Linked DNA regions of Neodiprion lecontei. The protein of the gene in region 2 interacts with the protein of the main gene of each other region in a pairwise test. Links are inferred from orthologs where the notes say so. Each region holds a gene or a part of one and is shown on either strand. Other genes may lie near its edges.

Region 1 (8,059 bases), on a different chromosome or scaffold from region 2:
AAATAATCATTCGAATTAATGATATTACCCAAAACAAGAATAAGTTTCATACAATTCTGTAAACCACTGTAGTAAATTACAGAATTGCAGTGAAAAATTTTAAACTCACCTCGGTGTAAGCCTGACACATAGCTTCGTAGAGAGTTTGATGCTGTCTGATGTGAGATTCAAGAACTGCAATTTCACTGGGTAAATTTGTTGCATCGCATGCTTGACTCCATCCGGCAACGCTATCTACGTATTGCTCTGCCTTGTGATGAAAGACAACGCTCAAACCAAGAACTGCGGTACGCTCGTCGAGTCCTGCCGCAAATTCTTTCCAAGCTCTGTCCAGTCTTCCAGCAACGGCGCGAACGTGACCAGCCGCGTAATGTTGAGTTTCTAGAAGTCTACCAGCCATCGTTAATATTCTATTAATATTAACGTAAACGTTCATCGAACTCATAGTATCGTGCTTGTGATTTTCTTGCAATGTTTTAGCTGCTTGATAAGATCTACCAATCTCCACGTAATTTTTGAGAAATTCTTCCCTGTTGTGGCATATCCAATCAAACATTTTCTCGCAATCTTGCTCGAACAAGCGAAGTTGGAAGCACTGGTCTAATTTCATCTTCTTTATGTGCCAAAGTTGCAGAAGATGTTGCTGCGCTGCGTGAACGGAATCCAAATGCTGGATAACCAGTGCAGCCAGGGCCCGGCCATCGGGATCTGCTCCACCAGTGGCTCCAGCCTCAATACTGCCGCCTTCTCCGCCTGTTCCGCTCATTCCTAGACACCAATAATTGACCAAAGGATCTAAATAAACTGTACTGCTACTTTTGAGTGAATTTCACCACTTAGCAGTGTACACTGAGAGTGTAATTTTTACATACCGCTGTTGAAGCGTTGAAGCAGACGTTGTCCGACTACTTCAACCTCTTCGACAGGTACTTTCATGATTTTCTTCTTCATTTCATTGTGAAGATCGATGCCATGTTTAGCACCTCCAACATCATCGGCAAAGTCATTGCGACTCAGATCCTCTTGCAGATCGTCCAATCTGTCGAGCAGGTCTGCGGCCTGCCAAGTAAAATCCTCTACAGCGAGCCGAGTGTCGATCCATTGAGCGTGATCGTACTGAAACGTTCCATCTAAATCGGCAGTGAGCTGAGAGGGTTCTATCACCTTGCTCAATGCTTCAAGGCTGATCATGTTGGTCTGAAAGTGAAAAAAAGAAAAATCGATGTGTTATTATGAGTAACACGTCAATCGCTAAAAGTAATTGTCAATCGTTTATTTATATCCACCTGTAATTGAAAGAAAGATATGCTGCTGACGCAATTACATGAGGATTCATGCGATATAGACAAACGAGTTGCATATTGGTTTTTAAAGGTCAGCTCCTCTACCAAAGTGTAATCCGGTGCTCGAGACATGCGTGTGAATGCAAGTGAGATTGTGAATGTGAAGTTCAATAATGCTGCAATGTATTTACTCTTGGCACCAATGTTTGCGGTACAATGGGGAGGAGGGCTTCACATTTTGCTGCATCAGTGAATTCAATGAACGCTCCATACAAAACTGACATTGTGCCAAACTAGGGCACAAGACCCTGCTGCTACTGCAGCAGAGGCCTTGCACAATTCCTATATAGCTCTGCTATTCACCCCTTACCTATTATTGATTCTAATATTTACCTCAAACTTGTATTTGTGGCTGCCCAACGAGGTCCTTTGTTTCTGCCAAAAGTTGTCAGGCTTTATGATAAAGGCAACATGTACTGATCCGGGAAAATGTTCGTGTAAAACCTGAAAGTGTCAATTAAAATTTATTGTCGTACAGCCAAATATTTGCATTGTCACAATTACGCTCAAGTCTCAGTTTTCTATAAACAAACCTTGAGAATTGGTTTCACTGTGCCCCAGGTAGCTCCACGCATATCAACGACGACGGTGAAACCAAGCCCCCTTGCTTCGTCATTAGGAATGGCTAGAAGATACTGTAAAAGACGACGATAATCTTCTGGTTTAGCACGTTCTCGTCTCGGAGTTGTAGGAAAGACGAGAACGGGACCGCCGCGGCGATCGCGTCCACCCGGTAATATCGCTAGTCGTTCTTGTAGCAGAGGAAGTACCTCTGCCGCTCGAGTGCCATCCATTTCGTCGGTACCCTAGTGAGCATCCGACCTGAAAATCAACTGATGAATAACAAGTTCAATGCAGGGAAAGGAATGGAAGTAACATTAGAGGATGAGACATAATGAGACATAATGAGACAAATGATAAAGAACGGACTGTATTTTTAGTAGATCCATTGAAATCAGGAAAATTCATCAATTTTATTCGACATCAAAGAATAGTAAAAGAATGAATTAAAATAAGAGAAAATCACGTTCCTGTCCTTTTCGGTGCTGAAACAGTTCACTGCCACAAAAGCTGATAAGATAAACTTGAGTAAAATTGGATAGCCTGACCAGAAACGGTCAGAGAGTACTGCAGAAAGGGCGAAGAATTCTGATGAAAAACTTTTCTACTTACTCAATATTAGCGATCAAAGTGACTAACAAAATACTTGGTATTTTAACATATGACTGTGTTAAAATAGATCATTAGCAGTAAGCCTTGGATGTTCTTTGAACTGAGTATCACATCGCTGATAAGTCAATGGTTTCACACAAAGAAGTACGGAAATGTTACACGTACAATATACAATATAACAATGAAATAACATCTAGTGAATAAAGATTAATGCAGAAAATTTTTTCCTTTAAATGTAACTCACTCACATAAGACTGAATGAAAAATTATGGTACAATCATTAACTTTATTTATATATATTTAAGAACATACAGATTGTATTTTCCACGTTCAAACAATTCTAGCAAATAATGAATTCAACAATGAAAGTACTTTAACATTTGTCAAAAATGCCTGAGATGGCCTTGATATGTTAAATATAGTATGCAGCAAGAGGCAACATCATTTCTGAAAATTAATATCTACGAGAAACGTGTTCCCTGGTAAAAGATTGTTATTGTTATTATTATGATTATTCTGAGCAGGACAAAGATTCTAGGAAATTTTTCATTCTTCACGAGTCAAGAGGTAATTCTCATACAGGGAAACGAGGCACAAAGAACAACGAGATGAGAATAATAATCGTTTCCAGATGGGTGAAAATTAATAAAATTTGTAACTGGCGAAATATTTGGGAAAATAGTTTTCATGGTTTAAATGAGATTATGAGGTAAGAGCTGGGGTAGTTGAGCGGTGTGTGATAGATAAATAATATTAGTATTGATTGAAATTCGATTAAATAAATCGTGAAATTTACACCTGTTGAATGGAATTATTTAAATTAGCAATTCGCGAGCAGCGTGCGACGAATTGCGAGGACAAGTAGTCAAATTTGGTCCGAAGATAGAATAAGAATAATAATACGAACGTTGAATGCAAAATGGAATATGTATTTGGCGTGTTCGTACGCATGCATACACGCACGTATATATGTGCGTAATAAATTTGTAGAGGCGAAAATTGTGCGGCAACCGGAATATGAGGTGATAGAATAGAACATTTCGATGGTATCATAACAGAAGACGGGGTGTTTTTGTTATCATTTTTTCATCATTTTCAACGGATAATATACCATGTGTAAATTAGGATGGAAGAGTGACTAGGTATCCAGATACCAAGTCCATTCGGTGAGTGTTCACGGGGCAAATCAATCGGGAAGTCTGTACGTTAGCGAGAAAGAGAGAAAAAGAAAAAAAAAATCGCGTGGTCAGGGAGCTGGGTAGACAGCCTCTGAAGTAGGTATATACAGCGTGAACAAAACGTCCCCTTTGACATTGTTTGATGATACATCTAACAAAGCGACGTGCGTATTATACATAACCGTTGTTGTTTCATTACAACGATATTATAATTAGATACTAGAAGTTGCATGTAGATATATATGTATTAATAGCTATGTATCTACGGATAGTAGAGAGCTTGTCAAATCCACCCCATCGGACACAACAATTAAAATGAATATTGTGATATCTCTTACCTCGGTACAGTTAACTCCGGGAAATCACTTTGAATCACTAACTTAATACAATTGTCATGTCTAATTGGAAAATAACTTTTAACGTAACTCATATTGCTCGCACATTGGCACATTTACAAAATCACACAAATAACGAAAGAGTTATACTTCTGCCATGTTCGGCTACAAATTCTACATTGCTGCTGAACCTCGCCGCTGATACCTTCTGCTTCTCCCGTCGACCGTCGCGGCGGCGCTGCTGTCGACATCGAATCATCACTGAATAATATGCGCCAAATGGGCAACGGCCAAAGGGCAATGCCAGTATACTCTGTCTCTCTTTCTCTACACTCTGATTGGCTGAGCATTACGAGATATGCGCGTTCGGCCAATCGCAGCGCAGAGCGAGAGAGACAGAGTGTACGGCAATTGCCTTTTACTGGGAAGCCACCTCCATGCGATATAAGCACGACGGCAACGGCAATGTGCGCGCAACTACCGGTGTTTCGAATCCAACGACGCGTAGTCATTTTACAGGACGTCCGGATTGCCGTCCCGCTTAATTAGTTGATTGTTAGTTGGTTAAAAAGTGAGGGTATATTAATACCGATTGACGAGACTATTCTGTTCCCAAAATGACTAGCTCTGTGACTACGAATCCATCCACGCTTTTGCCGCTAGGTAAATAAATAAAATAATAACGAAATTTTTCCTAACCTCTATGATCTAACGACAGAACGACGTTGTTTATTATTTATTTTTTGTGTATTTTTAAAATACGTTTTAAAATATATGCCATTAGTTCGGGGTAGTCCACGTGTCTTTTACATTCTCGTATTTTCTGCAACCTTGCTCATTATCGATCATCTTAATTTTCTCTATTAACTGATGTTTTATTTCATTGAATTTTACTTTACAGAATTGGTGGACAAGTGCATCGGCTCCCGCATTCACATTATCATGAAAAATGATAAAGAAATTGTGGGTACATTACAAGGATTTGATGACTTTGTGAATATGTTATTGGATGATGTGACTGAAAGCGAAGCAACACCCGAGGGACGCAGAGTTACAAAATTGGATCAGATCCTCCTCAATGGAAATAACATTACGATGGTTAATATGGAAATACAAATACATTTCGATAGCATGATGTGTTTAAAATGCACAACAAGGTTTATTGCAACAGTTTGACTATCATTTTTTCTTTCCTGTTTCAGTTAGTACCTGGAGGTGATATGCCAGAAACATAATCTCATCCCCTGTGATTTCATGTATAATACTTTTGACATTTACTGCTATGTGATTGTAAAAATTTATTCAAATAACAATGATTTTCTTTTGTAAACATTTCTGCATTGTCTTCCTTTTATCCCGTATCATCATTGAGCCTTTGCCATTTCTAATTAACTTCAACACTTTGCTTCGACCTCTAAATCTTGAAGCTCCGTTGCAACTCCATCTATACTGGGTCTATCTGTTTTTTCAAATGACCACATCTTTGAATACAACGCTTTATACTTGCCACCTAAATTATCATCCAGCATTGAATCCTCCGGTTTTATACCTTTCCCAGTGAGATACAAAATAGCGTGAGGATGGAGGTCAGCGAATGGCAAAGTCCTGCTTAGCATTTGCCAGGCCAAAATTCCCAGGGAATATATGTCTGAAGGTGGAGAGGGTAATTCCCCTCTGATTACTTCTGGGGCTACATAACCAGGTGTACCCTGAAAATATGGCATAAACCTGGTGATTTAGGGAATGAAATCGTGATGCAAAACTAAAAAACCTACTCGAATTCCTGTATATGTGTCTTCTTCCCCCAAAAGAACGGAGCTACCAAAATCTGCTAATTTTGGGTTGCCATCTGCGGCCATGAGAATATTTTTTGGCTTCACATCGGCATGAACCACGCCAGCTCGGTGACAGAATTGAATAGCGAAAGTAATTGCCTTGAAGATATTTAATCGCTCTTGACAGTTCAATGGTCCCTCATCCAGTCTTTCTTGCAGAGATTTACCACACAATTCCATAGTAATCATTGAGAAAACTTCTCCCTGTTCAATGCCCAGTATCCTGATGACATTAGCATGTCTCAAAGTGGTGGCATGTTTCTCTGATATCACGGAGTTATCACTGTCTTTCCTTCTTCTAAGTATTTTCGCAGCCACCTGATCACCTGTTATATATGATATGATAAAATCAGGATAGGAAAAAAATATCGGCTCCCTTTCATCAAGTGACCGCATTTCACAATATTCTTCAAACCTTTGTAAGATGCTTGAATCACGGTTCCAAATCCACCACTGCCGAGAATCTTTCTTGTACAGTGGGTAAGTCCAGTATTTAAAATTTTCTTTCGGTTTGGAGTATCGACATTGACTAGCGACAATGTACATGGTTTTGTATTTATTTTCGCTTCCACACAGTCTGTGCTCAAATTGTTCCGGAGAGGTGATTTTGGACTACTTGTAAATCTTTGAACATTGTAAATACATATGTATTACATTTGCAGTTTTAGCGACCAAGTATTAATAATAACACACCTTATATTTTGAACAATTTGAGGCGACCGTGGTGCCAGCCTTCCGATCTCAAAAATTCCTCTTGGAGAAGCCATTCGAAATATATTGTATTATATTTCTTCTGCAGGTAGAATGAACAACTTGACCAATTACAGTGATTGACATAAATATATACCTCTATGTGTCTACCGGAAGACTAAACACACAACTCAAAACAAATATTATGAAGGGTATTATTGAACTTGATGCATGTTTATGTATTATGTACAGATATTTTTTTTTCTTTTCAATTCTAAGATGAAGGTGAATGACTGACGTATTTTAAATATTTTCTTTATTCTCTAAACTTAAGGCATAATCCAGCTGCTACGAGCCTATTACTAATTATTACTTTTAATACTGTATTTTTAACTTGATTATTTACAATAACGTTTTCACTATTTAATAACAAGGATGATTGTAATAATCTCTCAATATAGGTAATATCTGTGGTGTGGCTATAATAACATGTCTCAATGATATACTGTAGATGTAAAGCCGTATACCTAATGAAATCTAATTTATTAGATAGTTAACAATAATAAGTACCGTTAGTTTAGAGCAACACGGTTTTCTATCACAATCATCTAGGAGAATTTATTACCATTTCTCAATTATTTGTGTTACGTGAATAACAATAGTTAAGTAATTTCGTTTTTCATTCTCTGTTCTTTTTTTAAATGGTTGTACTACGTGTTGGATCGAAGGAGTGTCAATAATGATTTTCAACTTTCAATAAGAACATATTGATTAGTAAAATACTCTACGGAATCAAAATACAATATTTTCTTTGCTTCTTATTTTGTATCGTATATATCATATCTAATACATTATATCTGCTTTATTGCGATACATCATTGGATGACTATCACTTTGATTTTGGTTCAAAATGTTTATGCCTTCGTATATTATAATTCTCGAAAGAGTTCGTTCATAAGCATACACGATTCTTATTTATCGAAAAATATAAGAATTTCCATATTATTTATACCTGCACGATATGTAATTCAAATTACACAAACAGATTTTTGTCAAGAGTTAGAATTTTATGGAAATCCCTCCTTTGTTTATCCGTACCGTACTAATATTTCCCATTCATCTCCAACAAAGCTCATATCTAATCCTGCTGCATACATTCACCAATCAGGTACTTGTGTATACACAGTTTTATACATATAGCACCAACTTTATTGTCTTACTAAAAAAAAAAATGCCTACCCAAATGCAACCCTACGCTCATACCCTATTACGCCAAAAAATTGGCTATACTTTTAACAAAGATCACATGCAATCCTCTTGGTCAATTTTAATCATCCCCTGGCGCCATGCACCAATCTCGTGTTGCATCTATTGGTACTCTCCTGACAAAGGCCTGAACATCATGAACCAACTTAGTTTAATAACATGCATGAGATGCCACACGGACAATTTCGGTTTACCAGTTTCGTAAAACCGTCTATACTTAACAATAGTTAATTTCTCGT
Region 2 (8,381 bases):
GATATCCATTATCTAGCTTAGAGTTTTCCCTTCCAAAGGTTTTCGTTTTTTTCACTGTTGTCTCGCTTTTTTTTTTGCAAAGTTATTCCATATTATATCCGAAAAACTTTAATCCTACGTAAGAAGTGAAAAAACTGGAGTAATGTTAATGTCGGAGGTAAGGGTGTAACCAAGCTGTCTTTCGTTTGAACTTCAACATCTTTGGTGTTGCAGAATGTAGGGAAAATGTAAACACAACAGGCTTTCGAAGAGAAATCTTTATTCTTCAAAAGACGATCGCCCCATTTTTACGGAAACTGTGTCGCGGTAAAGTTTAATTTTTGATAACCAAATTTTAAAGGTCATCTTTGTAAAGTTGTCAAGTTTGCGAGTGACGTTGAGGATAATTTTTGATCGAGATTCAGAAGGGCGGCATTTAGCGGTTCTATCTCGTTTCTTTTAAATTTCTGTACAATAGTTTTTTCACTTGATATGTAGAATCAAAGTATTTCGGACGCTATTTCTTTTGACATTAGATTTCTTTACGAGAAAAAGTCACACGCATAGTTTTAAAAGAACCATTTTCGAGGGAAAACTCCATGCGACAAAATAAATATCTTGAGGCCAAGTCGAAGGGTCACTTTACTAAATTTACAAGATAGGATTACTCAAGAAAAAATGCATAAAGACTAAATTACGCAATTACAGTAATTTCAAGCTGGAGTTTTTCACAACCAAAAATGGGGGGGGGGATAATTTTCTCGGCGAGTACATTTGCATTTTTGCCATGTCCTAGTTTTTTCTTCCTTGACTTACTAGTCGAATAACTCATCGACAACTGTTGTTTGAAAATACGTAGGCGCAGGCTGTCGCATCCTACACATTATGTATACAGTATACAATATATGTACACGTGTTGCATTCTTCCGAAGTAAATTCGGCATATAGTACACAATACATGTATAATATAAATACAACTATGTATACTCGTGTAGAATCAATATGCAGAAATCGACAGATGCAATTTAGATCAGAAAATCTGTCCTCTCACTTGCTTCTAGCTTGTAGCGGAGGTTACAGATTCCTGTACAACGTGCAAAAGCCACCTTTCTTAGATATTCTAGTGCAAGCAGCAACGATCTTAGCGTTACGGTCTGTAAACCACGAGTAGCAAGACGACGACGAGGAGTTTTTATACTTTTACTAAATTCCTATTCTCTCCTACACGTTCATTGTATGTCTATATTTGCGTAACATATACATGCAAATATGTAATATTCCCGACCTATACCATAGACGACATAATGTAATTCCGTGTGCGGTGTTTAATTAACCCTTTGAGTTCATAGTGCTAGGTATTTTTACCACCTATTTCGTATCCATTTTTTAAATATTTAGCAAACTCTTCAACGACTTCATGCGGTCTTTTGCTATTTCTGAGACTATTCTAATATGTCTTAAAGACTCAAGAGTAATTATTCCGATGTATCGTATTTTATTATTGTTATAACCAAATTGATTGAAAAAACGTGAAAATTGCAGAAATAATTCATTTGCAAGAAAATTTTCCTTGAAAGCATATAGATTATGTGATTTTGAGGTCACTGAATCATAATCTGAAGACAGATTTTGAATATTCAACGTGGCGGATCCAAAATGTCGGAAGAGTATTTCAAATTTCATCAAATCAAGACAATAAATTGCATGTAGAGGTTTTTGGGTCTCTGGTTGTGAATCTCAGGTTAAATTGTCGAAACTTAAGATGGCGCATCCAATATGGCGGACTAAAAGTTCAAATTCGAACGAACCCGGACTAAAATATGTTAAACGGGTTTTTGAGGTCGCTGATTATGAATCTAAGCAAGAAGATTTCGAAAATTCACAACGGCGTATCCAATACGGTAGACCGAATTTGTTAAATTCAGGTCATGGAGTGGATAAATTTTGAGATTTCATGGCAACTATTAGGATCCGCTATTTCAATTTTCATAATTAGACTTCGAATTCTCGTTATAAGCGACCCAACTCCTTTACTTAGATTTCTATCGAAATTTAATTAATTTTCCAAACTTGTGTTCTACATGCTGGATCCGTCACCTTAAATTTTCAAGATCTGATCTCAGATTCGTAAACAGTAACCCCGAAAACCCATTCATACAGTTTTTCGTCAATATCCGATGACATTTTAAATTTTATCTGTCATATTGGATCCAGATTTGGATGATTTTCTTGACCGTACTGGATCAGCCGTCTTCAATTTTCCAAAACTGATCTCAGATTTGTAATCAGTCACCCTGAGAACTTGAAAAATAATATATTGTTATAAAAGTTGTTTCGGAACAACAATGGGTGAGTCAAAGGATTAAAACGCAGAGCAACGCGCGTTAACAGTTTATTAACCGTGTGAATAATTAGAAAAATCGTAATTCCTTCGATCCTCCGCCCGTCGGATCAGCGTTACATTCGGGTAATATAGACGCTACGTGTAATTAAATTGTCAATCCCGCAGTAACTAGATCGCCTTTCTTCCTTCTTGTTCTTCCTCTTCTCCGACAACCAAGAAAGCGGACATCAAGGATGAAATTTAAAACCTTCACCGCTGCTGTACATACACCTAATTATTATACCTACGCTCGAACATCTCTCGAGTGTTTTCGTACACCTGGCGCGTTGCGTTGTTGTTGTTGTTTTGTGAGAATGAGGGTTTTACTAATACACAGCCAGAACAACAGCATGAACAACCGGTATCTCGTGCGATGTAAAACTAGAAGGGGCATAATAAAAAAAAAAAGAAAAAGACGAGCTCGCTGGCGACGACCATGATTCTCAGAAGAAATGGAGAAAAACCGCGCACCGCCTCATAACTTTATACAATACACTTAAAATCATAAATTCGTATCAAACGTTCCATCGCGATGAGGATTCTTCGGTAAATTTCTCCTGTTTCTCACGTATCGTTAGAATAATATTGTATATAACAATTTGTCACCATCTACGACGATAGAACAATTCGAGAGAGTACGAGGTTAAAGTTAGTAACGTCAGCGTTACGAAAAATTGGGAAAAAAATCACTCTTTTCTTAATTTTACAATGATTTTTAAGGAACTAAGATGTCGAAATATGAGTGTGTGTCTTTCTGTAACGGTTTACTGAATTTCGGACAATTCCTAAATCGCGAAATAACTCATTTTCCTCAGCATGACTCGTTATGATAGTGTTCCTATAGCGTCAGTATGAAGAGAGAGAGAGTCGGATTGTTGCCGTAGTTCATCTCTCCCTTTCCACCCGACTCGACGCGACGGGACAAGTCTTCTTATTAAAGCGAGGCAATTATTTCTCTATTGGTGCACAATGGAGACACAACGACGACGCCGACGACGATAGTTTGTAGCCTCGAATGGAATTGAACTCTGGGGGGATCAAAATTACAATATAGCTACTAGCCAATCCCAACGTACTTCACGAGGGTGCAACGAAGAGAAGAAAAGAGTGCCGGGCGATTGGCAACCCTGCACGAGATCTTCCGCCATCCTCCTCCTCCCTGGCCTATACGCAACTTGATAACTTTCTCTCTCTTTCTCTCCCGCACACTCACGGCCCTATTTATACGTGCATTTTATACTGCTATACCCCCGAACGACCCACCGACTCCCTTCTTCTGTTTCACGAATATGCGCGGAAGCGATCATCCTGGTCATCCTGGTTCATCTGCTTCACATACTCTCTTTGTGATTTGCTGATATTTGCATTAATTCGAAATTTGAACAGGTTCTAGCTGGCGGACAGACAGTATGATGATAACGACTCGAAGCTTCCGCGTTTCAATTGTACATTTTCAACAGTGGATATTAGATGCCATAATAATGGAAAACGTTTGCAGGTATGTCAGGGGAAAAAGAGTCGACTGGCAGAGAGGCGTTTAGAAGATATTTTCCAAGATTCTCTCGAGGCTTATTACACCTGTATATGTCTCTTTTCCACTCCGTGCTCCGTGTAGTCTCAGGGTAAATATTTACCCGGGCAAACAAGATTGCATGTATGGAAATTCATGCCTATACATGTAGATACCGTGCGTAAATTTGAGGCAGCTGTTATGTCAAACAAGAGGAGTACACACACACGCATACGCGTGCGCGCGCAGCAGGAACGCTTTACAAGTTTTTGAGAAAAAAATTGTTTGAAAAAAAATAAATATATTGATAATTAGAAGATTCTCTCTCCGACCGATCTTTGAGCAGAAAATACAATCAATTCATACGCGTTGTATCATCAGGTATATTTTCACTAGATGATTAAACCCAGGAGAAAATTCGCGTTGCGAAAATCGACACGCAAGTTGTACATGCGAAACCGTATGTATGATGCGTAGATACTATGTATTACAACTTCCGTATGTAAACTGATATTTGTACGTTCTATTTGCTGCCTTTTTCAATCATATTACAAATCATTATTACAGAATACGATAATAAAATCTTGAGATTCTATATTACGTTAGGAATAACCAGAAGTTTTATTTGCGATTGTAATATTCTCAATCGACGAAAAAATTGAAGAAAACAGGCGAAGTGGGGAGCGATTTGATTGATGATTAGCGAATCAACTTAATTAGCGCGAATTTTGTATGAAATTCGAACGCAACGCTGTAATGGAATAAATGTACGTCGAACATAAATTAAATTTGATTCAGCGATTGAATTACCTTGGCCGACGAACGTCAACAAAGCGAGCGAGATCAGCGCTACCCTCAACTCCATCGAAGGTACGTGTGTATAGCTTGGTCTTCTCCGATATTTTAATCCTGAAAAGATCTCACCAGCCTGCCCACCCACAATTACCTACACTTCTTCATCCGATCACTGAAAGGTAGCACGACTTATGTTCGACACAAACATATCTAATTCAGCGCGAAATCACTGATATCTATCACCACACTGCTGCTTGTTAGGTTTGTGTAACGATTCATTTTTATAGTCGTAGTAAACAACGATTTTGATTACCAAACATCACTAGCCAGCGATATAATTCCTCTGCACCATCCCGAGTTTCTTGGCTATCTGACGCGACGCCATTTTTGTAGAATATAGAGGCTCGCGCCAGCTCGCGCCAACACGGAAAAACCATGAACTAGAATGGTTTCCGAAATTCAATCATCGACAACGTCGCCAATACTAACGAGTAACGACACAGACCAGCGATACGGTGGTGAAAATATAGTTAGACGAATCAAAGTACCTCACGGAATTTCGAAAACTTATCGATTGAGTGCGATTGAGTGGCAATATTTTCGTCCTCGTTGTTTGTACATATTATTTATTTCTTTAAGTTATATCTTGTTTCATTAACACATTCACCCGAATCGCGAGCTAACAATTCTACGTAGGAAAACCCTTGTTTGAACCAGCTGTACCCAGCCCCCTGACACTCACTACTGTTCGTATACTAAAAAATTGTACGCGTTTTGTCCCCCTTTTTTTAGTTCCTCTATGTGGCGCTAGTAGACTTTTGACACGCTCGCTCGCTCGCTGATCGCGCGCAAGCCTTTCAGACAACTACTAGCGCTACCAGTGGTGGAGATTGGCGGCAGAATGGAGGGACATTTTGCGAACCACTTTTAGCAGCATGTGTCAGGGGGCTGGCTGTACCCATTTGGCAACAGCAGTTACGTTTCTATCGGTGGTTGATATTTCGTGACGACGACAATGGGGGATTGACATCTTGATTGACTGTATCAAAATGAAATAAAACAGAGAGCGAGAGCGAGTGAACGAAAGGGAGTAGGAGCAAGAGAGCGAGAAAAAAGAACGAGCGGAGAGACCAGAAAAAAAGTGGGAGAGAAAAAAATTGAAGACAATATGGCCGCGCCTGGGTGTTATGGGTAGTGTGTGATATTCGAAAAGCCTGATATTCGCGACTGGTAAACAATAATGTGCCCGGAGTTGTGTTAACATTAACGTAGCCACTCTGACACATAAATTAACGAATGGGCGGGCAAGTTTATACGTAACGTTGGAAGGATGCTAGGCGTCGGGAGCGTGGTAAGTGCCGAGCGTTACCTCCTCTCCCACAAGTTTTACTACACATATCTATACTTACCACATACATACATCTATTTTTACGCATATTTCATCGATTTTATTCCCTATTCAATCGATTAACTGACTGAAAATGCATGGAATTAGAGAGACAAAAGAAATAAAAAAAAACATCACACAACGAATAAATACCCCCATATCACGCTCGGTTAGATAACGCCAAGACAATTTAAGTTTCGGCTAAAGTTATCCGTAATTTCTCATGCGATATATGGTGTCATAGGTACATGCATCACTTTTCCCTTTTGAATTCCCTTAATATTCTCTTATTATTATTATCATTATCATCATTAACATCATCATCATCATCATCATCATCATGATTGTTATTACTATTTTTGCTATCATTATTTTACAACGCAGTTGAACAAATTCCATCTTTGCTCTCACCTAGGTCAACGTTTACCGTTTTTTTCTCCACAATAACCCATTGAGATAAATCTACCTTAGGAGGGTTTCCTAATCCTTCATTGTTCGCTGATACTACGCGTCTAATAGTCGCGCAATTAAATGAATCCGTGACACTCCGCTGATCCTCGCAAATGACGCATTGGCATGGCTACTAGAGGTATGTAGATCCAGAAATTCTCCTCATACCCTTTTACGAATTACTAATTGTTATGCAAATATCATAGATACCTTTCACATATTGCTATTTACAGCACAACAATAGAAGAAATTGCAAACCTTTAATCATAAAGCTTTGTTGTTACCCTTTCTCAATTACTTGCAGAGTTAATTACTGAACATGAGTTGGAAATTGCTCACTTTGCAACCTTTGATGAACCGTCTCAAATCTCGCAAAATCCTTTCTCATTAGACCAACTGTCAGATTTGTTATTCATTGTTGTTTTATCTGAATAGAATTTACTTCCAGGCTTAAAAGAAGTCATCAAATTATCAGTCACTCTGTTTTATAGCTATTCAGAGCCCTTGTTAAGATTACATATGGAATAAGCTATTCAAAATGCATTGGGATAGAAATACGAAATATATTTCTCGTCAACCATGATGTAAAATTAACCAACACTTTGCTTTGGTTTAATTGCGTCAACCTGATACTAACTTTCCATTTCATTATTTAATTTTCACGACAATGTAGTAGTCGAGCATGTGTAGTGTTAAAATTCTACTCCCTTTAGCCGAATTCTCAGAATAACTTTTGAGTCTCTCTAACTATTCAAGTAACAAATATAATTTACTCCTTGTAAGAAAATCAAGTCTTATCATCAATATGTGATTTTTCATCGACGCGTTGAATTTGACTCAAAACCTGTCAAATCAGAATATCACCGTTGTTGAAACTTCTTCATTTCCATACATGTTGGCAGTCATGTTTGATTTCAAATTCAAGACATACATAGTTTGATCTCTCTTTATATATCGTCTGTTATCAATAAATGGCAAAACTGATCGCCTACAGATTTATATTGTTTAATATTACACACAAAAATATTGTGCCAAATGTATTATACGCCTGACTAATTCCTAGGGGTGGAAGGTAGCACTTTACTGAGACTTGGAGACTGACAGTGGTTAAAACACTGGAGAAAGACGGTGGAGCTTTGGAGGAGGGGGAGATGTCTGCTGGTACCCAAGGCGAGATTCGGGTCGGTCCATCCCACCAGGTTTGCCCGATTCTTTGGAAAAACCTCACTGCTTCATAGCTACCCTGCAAATATAATTAATATAATTCACGCATAACATCTAATAACTAATGAATGTACAAAAGATAATAATTGAGTATAAGTCAGCGGCAATAACAAAGTTTTTTTTTAACAACACAATCGCTTTCTCATCGCACTAACAATAGAACAATGCAAGTAAACTTGTATCGGCTGAATAAGAAGGAACTTCAACCTAGCAAAGTTTCACCGAATTCTGTTGAGCTATTTATGCCTTATGAAATTCAGCTTAGCACTTTGAATAAGCAAGCCGGTATACATGTGTGCATGACTAACTCGCTTTGGCAGTGGTGCTAACCGCGCGCTACCCTGAATTTTGGGTACAGGAGTTGGTTTCTTGCCAGGCCCGGTTGCCTGAGTACAGGCCGGGCATCCCTCCTGGAGATCTTCATCCGGATCCTGAGTTCTCCAAAGAACGTGAGGAACTACGATGGGTCCCGGCCATGGCTTTGGACGGAGATCTGTTGATGTACTTAAGAGCTGCCCGATCTATGGCTGCCTTTGCAGGAATGTGTGACGGCGGATCTCCCGATGACGGTTGTGTAGCTGCCTCGCGAGACGACACTACGATCAACGCTCTGGACATTTTACATGACTCTGGCTACGACCCTGGCAGGGCAC
Region 3 (8,004 bases), on a different chromosome or scaffold from region 2:
GTCCCGAAGGCACAACGAGCATGCGGCGCTTTTGCACATCGCGCAGTAGAGGCAAACCATTTCTGTAGGATGTTCGGCGCACCCCGTCGCACCCGGGTCACCCGGTCCTCGTTGCCTCGTCGAAGAGGACTGCCAGCTGCCCCTTGGTGGTCCGAGGTTATGAGCGGCCAGGGGCCCTCTGTTGGGGTGACAAGATTCTCGGCAGGAGTCGCAGTAGAGAACCTGAAAGTTTGCGGAAAGGTTCGTATCAATAACAAGGATTTTAGTGATCGTCGGGAAAAAATATCGTTTCTTCGATTAATCGAACTTGCCTTATAATAATTCTCCAGGCAAATCGGTATATGAATCGAAACCGTCGACTAATCGATTAGCTGGAAAAACGATTAATCGAAAAATTCAATTAATCGCGCTGCACTTGGTAGAAGCAACGCGATACAATATCAAACCGAACGTAGTAATCGGGACTGTTTGTTATAATTAGGGGTCGATTAACCGATTTAGCTGCTATGTAATCAGATGCTCGAATGGATTCATTGATTATTTATGCTTGAATAGAGACAGTTGGTGATAATCGGATATAGATTCCAGGCGTATTAGTAAGCGGCTAATCAAGTGGACACAAACACCCTTTGAGGTGTTATTATGTCATACGGAATGTAGCCAGATTTGATAAATGAAAGTGACCGAAATGAGCCGTAAAAAGGAAAGTAAAAATTAATTTATCTACGTGTTATACGTCGTTGAAAATGACTAAATGTGACCACAAAATCCATCGCTGAATTTTTATTGTTCTTTTACGTTTCACGAGAGCTTATAGTCAATTGATTAAAAAAATTCTGAATTTATTGGTTAGGATGTATATGTGTTTGGGATATACAATTTAGAGTAATTCAAATATCTGTCAGCGTATAACGGAAGTATATGAAAAGAAAAGAGAAATGAGAAAAGGAAGATAAACAAAATCGAATTCGGTTACTGTACAGATACATGCGGAGAGATTCATCATCGACGAAACTTGACTTGTTTGTAAATGCTCGAATTCCAGTTAGAAAATTCAGTCAGTTGTTTTTTGCGACTCGTCAAGAAAGGTTTCTCTCAATTAGGGTACGACCTTTGATAAGACCAGAGTGAGTTTGAGTTTCTCAATGTGCCTGTGTTGCGTATGTAATTCAACGGAGTTAATTCGGAAACAATGATACCTAACAAGAACAACAACAAGAACAACGATAATCCTACCTGGAGGGATCTCAAATGAGCCAAGTTGAGCCATTATATTTGATATAGAATTGAATGACAGGGTAACTAATGACGCGAGGGATCCTGAGGTAAGCCCTTCGTTCGAAACCCCCCGTTTTTTAATCTCATCACACGATATACGTCAAAACGTGGAGAGATTATGGATGATGAATATACTTCGCCGTTTTTTTACGTCATCCCGGAGAGATCAACAACAGCGGAAATGTCATACGGCCAGTTCTCTCTTTGAAAAACACAAATAACATTATGCAGAATACATGACGATAGAAAAATCTCTACAGAGCAATACACGTGTACCTGTGTATCTAATCTAATCCCAGAGTTGAAAGTGTTTTTTTTTTTTTATGTATATACCAATATTTTATTTCTTCTGACACTAGGTGGGGCTTTATTTCAGGCGGTCTACAATTAAACTAATCTCACCGCTGAACGGAGGTGAGATGAGAGTAAGGGTAACAACATTCTGCGGAGAACTGGGTTAAGGTGGGCGAGTGAAGTGAAGAGACTTTTTGGCACACACCTCCAAAGAGGAAATAGCATCTAACAAGGTAGAAGAAGCGGGAGAGAGGAGCAAAGAATTTATCGCGGAGGTTTCCCTTTCGGAAGTTCGAGGGACGGACAGAAACGGAAATAGTCGGTTAAACAGTTCTCTTGACAAATATATAATCCTGTAAACTGTCGAACAACTGTAATTAAACTCGGATCAACACAGCTGTCCTATCAAGGCTGGGGAACGCGATGCTGGTGGTTCAATTTCATTGCTTGAATCACGTCGATGATCGTGAAGAACCTTTATTCGAACCCCGTAAAAGGACTCGTGGGACTTTGTCATCTGCAGACGCGTTTTTTGCAAAATACGGTTTCAAGCAAATACTGCTACGTGGGACTGGATTTTCACCGAAATTGAAGTAAAACCCTCGGTTCATCTCTCGGACATCAAAGAGCCCGGGAAGTTTGCGCACTTTCGTATTTGCACAGATTTTTAGCAAATTTTGTACTTGTAGATTTGTCGATGACTGACTCTGATCGGCTAAACAACGGTGAAAAAATTGGGTGACTCGATTCCTGCTACTCAAGAGATCCTGTGCAATTTAAACGGTTTCTGCATTTTAAGACGCTATTAAGATTGGATACATTCCATTAAAAGATTCGATTGTTGAACTCGTGAATTTTAAATCGAACGAGAACGTTCCGAGTGCCAAACTTCGAGATCCTTTCTGCCACAAAATTTCCCTGTGGGATTCTCAGATTTTCCAAGTTTTCCAGGTCACCCTAAACTCCATTAAGATCCGATATTCTCAATCAAATCTGGCAACCCAGAATCGAATTCTAATGTTGAAACGTACGATGATTCGATGTTTTCCTACACTTTATGGGGTTTTTAAGTTTTCGAAATTGTTTTAATCGCACGACTTCCGTTAAAATTCGAATATTGAACCACTCCGAACCTAATCCGGATTTTAGAACACTGAATAATCCCGTCCTACGATTTTTATGCCCACTACGAAAACGGTCTTACAAGTTTTCGAATTCATGACCATGAAGTTAGTAACGTTAGCGTAAGTAACGAAACATTGGGGAAAAAAATTACTATTTTGCAATTTTGTAGTGACTTTGAAATGGCTAAGTGTTGAAAATATGAATTACCGATTTGCCTTATTATAATTTACTGCATTTCAGAGACTCCTAAAATTACGAAATAACGGATTTTTCGAAACGTAAATCATTGCAATAACGTTACTAACTTCAACGTCATCCGAATTTGTGATGAATTGTGTTAAAATTTGAACACAGAATTCAGAAATATTTACTCCGAATTTGAAATAACCAAATACCCCCCAAAAGACACACAGTCACAGACACAGTCTGTTAGTTGATTATACCTCAATTCCGTTAAAGACGTACTATACTAAACTAGGGAAAAAAAATTGAACAAATCACGAGATCGAAGTTAGTAAAGTTATGATAGCCAAGCACGACAAAAAAAAAATGTCTATTTTCCAACTTTAGAATGACTGCAAAATTTGATCAGGCTGAAATTTGTAACGGTAATGTAACGATACATCTTTGGAAAAAGTCGTTATTTTACAACTTTAGGATTACTTTAAATTTCGTAAACTGTTATTACAGGATATCATCAAACTCAGATTCTGTGAATTCAAGTTTTTCAGGTGTTCGAAAGGTGCAAAATAATAATTTTTGTTACAAAGTTTCGTCACATTAATGGCAGTAACTTCAGCCTTGTAAAATTTGGGCATGTTTTCCTTGATTATGTTCTACCGTATCTCGTACAATCCCAAAGAGTGATCGTAATGAAACGTTAATCCGATTGAATGAAAAGAAACTCTAGTGGCGTGATGTGAACGTCGAATTGGCTCACCTCGCACTGTTCGCAGGCGACGGTTGCCTCCCGAGGGTCCGCCTCGCACATCTGACATTGAAGCCTGACGTTCCGGGCCTCTTGGTACTTGTCAACGATGTGCTGCATGGCCCTGTACTTGGGTAAATTGTGCGCACCACCCTCGTCAAAGTAGACCATCTTCTGGCAAACAGGACATGCAAGACAGAGGGTGCCCCCGGAGGGTGGAAACCCTCCGTTCCCCGGTGTGCCGACGTAGCTTCCGGGTCGCGAGGAGGTCGAGGTACTGCTGCAAACGACCCCCGAGTCGGTTTCCGACAGTATCGATAGCTTATCGGCCTCCTGGTCGGGCCCGTTTCCCGCCGGATCGGGGGCGCAACATTCCGGCTGTGAATCGGGGGGGGCCTGAAGGCCCACGGCACAAGAGAGGCAAAGCGCGTGCCAGCAGGGCAGCAACACAGGCTCGGAGAAGAGCTCCTTGCACGAGGGGCATCGCAGCTCGTCCTCCATGCCGAGCGTCGGAACCACAAGGTCTCAAGTCCTCGGCTCGGCGCCGATCGGTGTTTGAGGATCGGTTCACCTCACGAATCGGCGCATCGCACGACACCTTATCACAATATCATCTCCCCGTGGAGGCACTGAACTAAAAAACTTCTCGTTAGTACAATAACGAGCTGCGATTCGGTTTTTTTTTTTATTACAATTTTAAATAATATATAGCACTCTTGTGTTACTTGTAGACTTTCCGGCGCGAACTTCACCCCGGTCCCGTTTCCTCGTTCAATTGAAACCGCACTTGCACTCCTCGGAACCAATGTCGACCCGACGTACAGCTATGCATCCAGGAGAGACGTCAAGCTGGCCCGAACGGCAGGCTGCCACTGGGTTGACTGACTCCCGGTTCTCGGACTGAACGCTGCTGCGCAGACGGTCCACGCACGGATTCCTCTCAGGACCGTAGAAAGGGGGTTTATCTACTTGTGAACGTTCGTTTGGGGCGCCGTCGATGACGTGACGAATCTTCCTTTTGTCTGTTGTCTGAAAACCGGGCAACTTCACGCCCTTGAGATTATTTTTGTTATGGTAATAGGTATTCTACGGTCGAAAGTCGAGAGTATTGACAAATCGGCTTACTTGAACTCAAAAACGACCGTTCGCTCGGTGTATCTACGAAAATAGCTTGTAAACACGGGTCTGCCAGTTCCATAGACTTATACCATTCAGAGATCATTTGCTGTGCTCCAGGTCACAGCTATGTGGAAACAAACGTACAGTCGAGACGATTATGAAGCATAGAATTAACCATTTCTTGGACTCTATATTTTTCTAAGCGTTTTAAGGGTGTTAAGGGAGTGGTTGTAATCGGGGATATCAACGAATTTTTCAAACGTTTTAGCTACGCTGAAAGATGAAAGAGTCTTTGGAGAAATAAGCAAAACTGAATTCTTCACGGATTTACGATCAGAGGTGAATGCAGTTAAAAGTATAAACTCTGGAAACTACCAGATAATATAATCAACGTACAAATAAAGAATATATAACTATATACATTACATATGAGTTGTTGACTCGCCAGCACGATTTCCTGCACCATGTACCGATATAGGTGTTCTCTTTCAAGCGATAAGGAGACACTTTTACTGTCGCTACACCTGTGGAGATATGTTGCAAAAAAAAAATTGCTACACCATTGCAGGTGTCCAATTGAATTTTCAGTGATACTATTTGCATCAGCCTGATTACCTGTCTATCGATTGAACACAGTTACTTCGATCCATTTTTTGTAATGAAGTGGAATATCGATCATTCAGCGGTGTGTGTTACTTCAAACCACTATCGATCCATTGGTAAAACCGTAAGATAAGCAGCCCCTCATGTTTGCTTGGGATTATCCAGCGAGGAAAAATACACAGTTGAGAAATACGTTGGTATAATAGCGCTGCAGACAGTACCGGAATGAAAGACGTATCTACCTGGGTTGAAAATTATTTTAAAGCTTAAGTAGAATAAAAATTGAACAACGACGAAGATAAGAAGCGCTGAAAATTCTACACTGTTATAAAATAGGACAGCATGTCAACTTTCCTATTATACACTGTACTGCACCAGGTAGTTCATATTTTACGATCTTGTATCATCGCACCTAATCTGCCGTAGCGTCGTTCTTTTTCTTCTCCTCGGTACAACTCTTGTAGCCCTGAACCATTCTCCGGCACCGTTCTTTGTTGTCGTTTTTTAAACAACATACCCACCCAGGTATATGGGTATAAACTTCGTTCCATCGAAAGTCGAACGTCGAGTTGCATCGGACGGAGAGTGGAGATCTGCTTCCAAGGACAAGGGAGGGGATGAAAAGGGCCAGTTGCATGATGGACCTCTGGAAGCGTCGAGTCTTGTCATTGTCGGGGCCCGATCAAGCATGCAAGTCTCCGACAAACATAATTCTACAGTAATCGCGTATGCTTCGGTTAACAATCCAAAAAAAGCATCGAAGTTTTGATAGCCCGTGAACCGTCCGTCGGTTTGTGATTTCCTCTGCTAGACCTTATCGATTGCAAACGTATTTAACCGTATGAGTCTATATTATCGAAAGAGTACGGGGATTAAAATTGAAACCTAAAAGTGATTTCAGGAGTGCTTAACTATAAGTAGCAAATAGGTATGGCAAAACGTAAAGTTCAGCGGATAAGGGGCCCTAAATTTGAATTTCAATTACGTTCGAATCGAAGTAGTGATTTGAACATTGGCAGATTAAACCGCCTCAATTATTCACTCGAGAGTTTTGCAATTGGAGTTCATTAATCCTGCGTCTATATTCTAACTAGAACAAGCGTATTTCCTTGCGTAATAGGCAGTGACGATATTTTGCAAATTCGCGATAGTAAAGAACACTCGCGAACGCGTCTCGTTCGAACAGCTTCACCGTCGTGACGTTGGAAGAACGGTGGCGCCACTTGCCGATGTTAGTAATCGAGATGGCAAGCGCCGTCGCAGCAAGAGCCTCGCATACGTCGACACGACGTCATCATGACGTCATTAATGAACACCGGTGACGATTTGCCAAATTATTTTACACATCAGATATTTTAAACCAGTTAACGAGGGGGGGATCCGATGATCAGAATCTCTACTACGCACCAGTCAGTAGTGTCGATAAGACAGTCTGACGCAAAAGTGTCTGGCAGGCGTTTCTGTGTCGAAACGTAGAGCTCAGTACGATTTGACGTGACAACGAAAGGCTGCGTGTAATTTTTGCAGCAAACGCATCCGTTGTACGTCCTTGACCATCGCGCTAATTGCATAACGTTGTTCTTGACCTTCGCGTATCATTCTGAAAACCACTTATTCGTTAGATAGACGTTCGCTACCTGTACAAACGCGCCTTGTACTAATCGAAATCGGAGTGACAATTCCTCGAGTCAAAATCGAATTTGGAATTTCAGTTACTATTTAATTTACATGTTATTGTTTCTGTAGTAAAAATTGAATCCTGGGGTTTGGACTTGGGAACGGACAGTTTCGTCAAAGATATCGAAAATCCACGAAGCTTGAAGCGACAATGAAAGGCTAATCTTACACCGCTTGAGGAAAAGTCATTGGATGTGTCAATACGCATGAAATTCTTATCTGTAAACGCTGGATTGTATATAAAAATCGATAAGAACAAAATATTTCCTCGTCAACGTGGATCGGTCACGCATATGCCAAATGATCCCAGTGTAGTATTTCGACACTGCTGATTGAACCCACATACCCTGGGAAATTTCCTCGCTTTCGTAACATTTAATTGGTTATTCGCGCGCAAAAATTAAATCCCACGATCAAAATGTCTGCAAGCTTCCTGATACGTTTGTCGGCTCGAAAACCTGCCCGGCAATTGGCTAAATTATACTCAACTAGCGGAACCAGGTTGGTATTCAATTCTGTAAGATATTACAGTGAATATTTACTCTTCCACAAATAGATTTACGCAGTCGACAGGCAGTGGATGATTGATATAATTTCGAATTCGTTCGAATTCGGTTTGAAATTGAAAAGAATTGAAACGTTCGTCAACCCGTCAAACAGCGATGCGGTTTCAATTTGATAATAACCGTATTTTTCCCAGTCTTTTTTCCTTGTGGATATAAAAGAGGGAGTGTGGTTTTATGCAATTAATATTAAAGTAGTTTATTAGAGTATAATGTCTATTTACATAATGCCAGTGCGGCATGTCCTATTAACAAGGAGTCCAGGAGTAGAGAGAGCTAGATTGTGTCCTAGCGCGTACGGTCCCGCGCGAGCTCGTCTCGCTACACAAAACTATCGCTGGCCAATAGATGGCTCGTCAAGTTTCATTCTGACCATTAATCAAGATTATGAATTTGTCTATATATTACAACATTCCT

What was found.
Region 1: the proteins of neogenin (region 2) and kalirin interact in a two-hybrid assay, tested with the Caenorhabditis elegans proteins (2 studies listed by BioGRID). The link is inferred for Neodiprion lecontei from reciprocal best matches to the Caenorhabditis elegans genes unc-40 and unc-73.
Region 3: the proteins of neogenin (region 2) and E3 ubiquitin-protein ligase TRIM9 interact in a two-hybrid assay, tested with the Caenorhabditis elegans proteins (2 studies listed by BioGRID). The link is inferred for Neodiprion lecontei from reciprocal best matches to the Caenorhabditis elegans genes unc-40 and madd-2.

The regions. Positions count from the first base shown.
Region 1 is NC_060261.1:5,611,269-5,619,327, forward strand, and holds the start of kalirin, read right to left. Parts: upstream 4,243-8,059; 5' UTR 4,033-4,242; intron 3,859-4,032; coding exon of another isoform or gene 3,837-3,858; exon of another isoform or gene 3,693-3,836; intron 2,166-3,692; 5' UTR 2,138-2,165; coding exon 1,877-2,137; intron 1,788-1,876; coding exon 1,677-1,787; intron 1,198-1,676; coding exon 873-1,197; intron 769-872; coding exon 110-768; intron 1-109. Other genes in the region: U6 snRNA-associated Sm-like protein LSm5, read left to right, coding at 4,647-4,692, 4,931-5,127, 5,232-5,264; serine/threonine-protein kinase mos, read right to left, coding at 5,424-5,738, 5,805-6,190, 6,280-6,488, 6,558-6,631.
Region 2 is NC_060263.1:14,818,208-14,826,588, reverse strand, and holds the start of neogenin, read right to left. Parts: upstream 5,044-8,381; 5' UTR 4,738-5,043; coding exon 4,683-4,737; intron 1-4,682. Other genes in the region: arginine-glutamic acid dipeptide repeats protein, read left to right, coding at 7,656-7,703, 8,087-8,381.
Region 3 is NC_060262.1:40,956,901-40,964,904, forward strand, and holds the start of E3 ubiquitin-protein ligase TRIM9, read right to left. Parts: upstream 4,666-8,004; 5' UTR 4,127-4,665; coding exon 3,638-4,126; intron 223-3,637; coding exon 1-222. Other genes in the region: L-2-hydroxyglutarate dehydrogenase, mitochondrial, read left to right, coding at 7,443-7,525.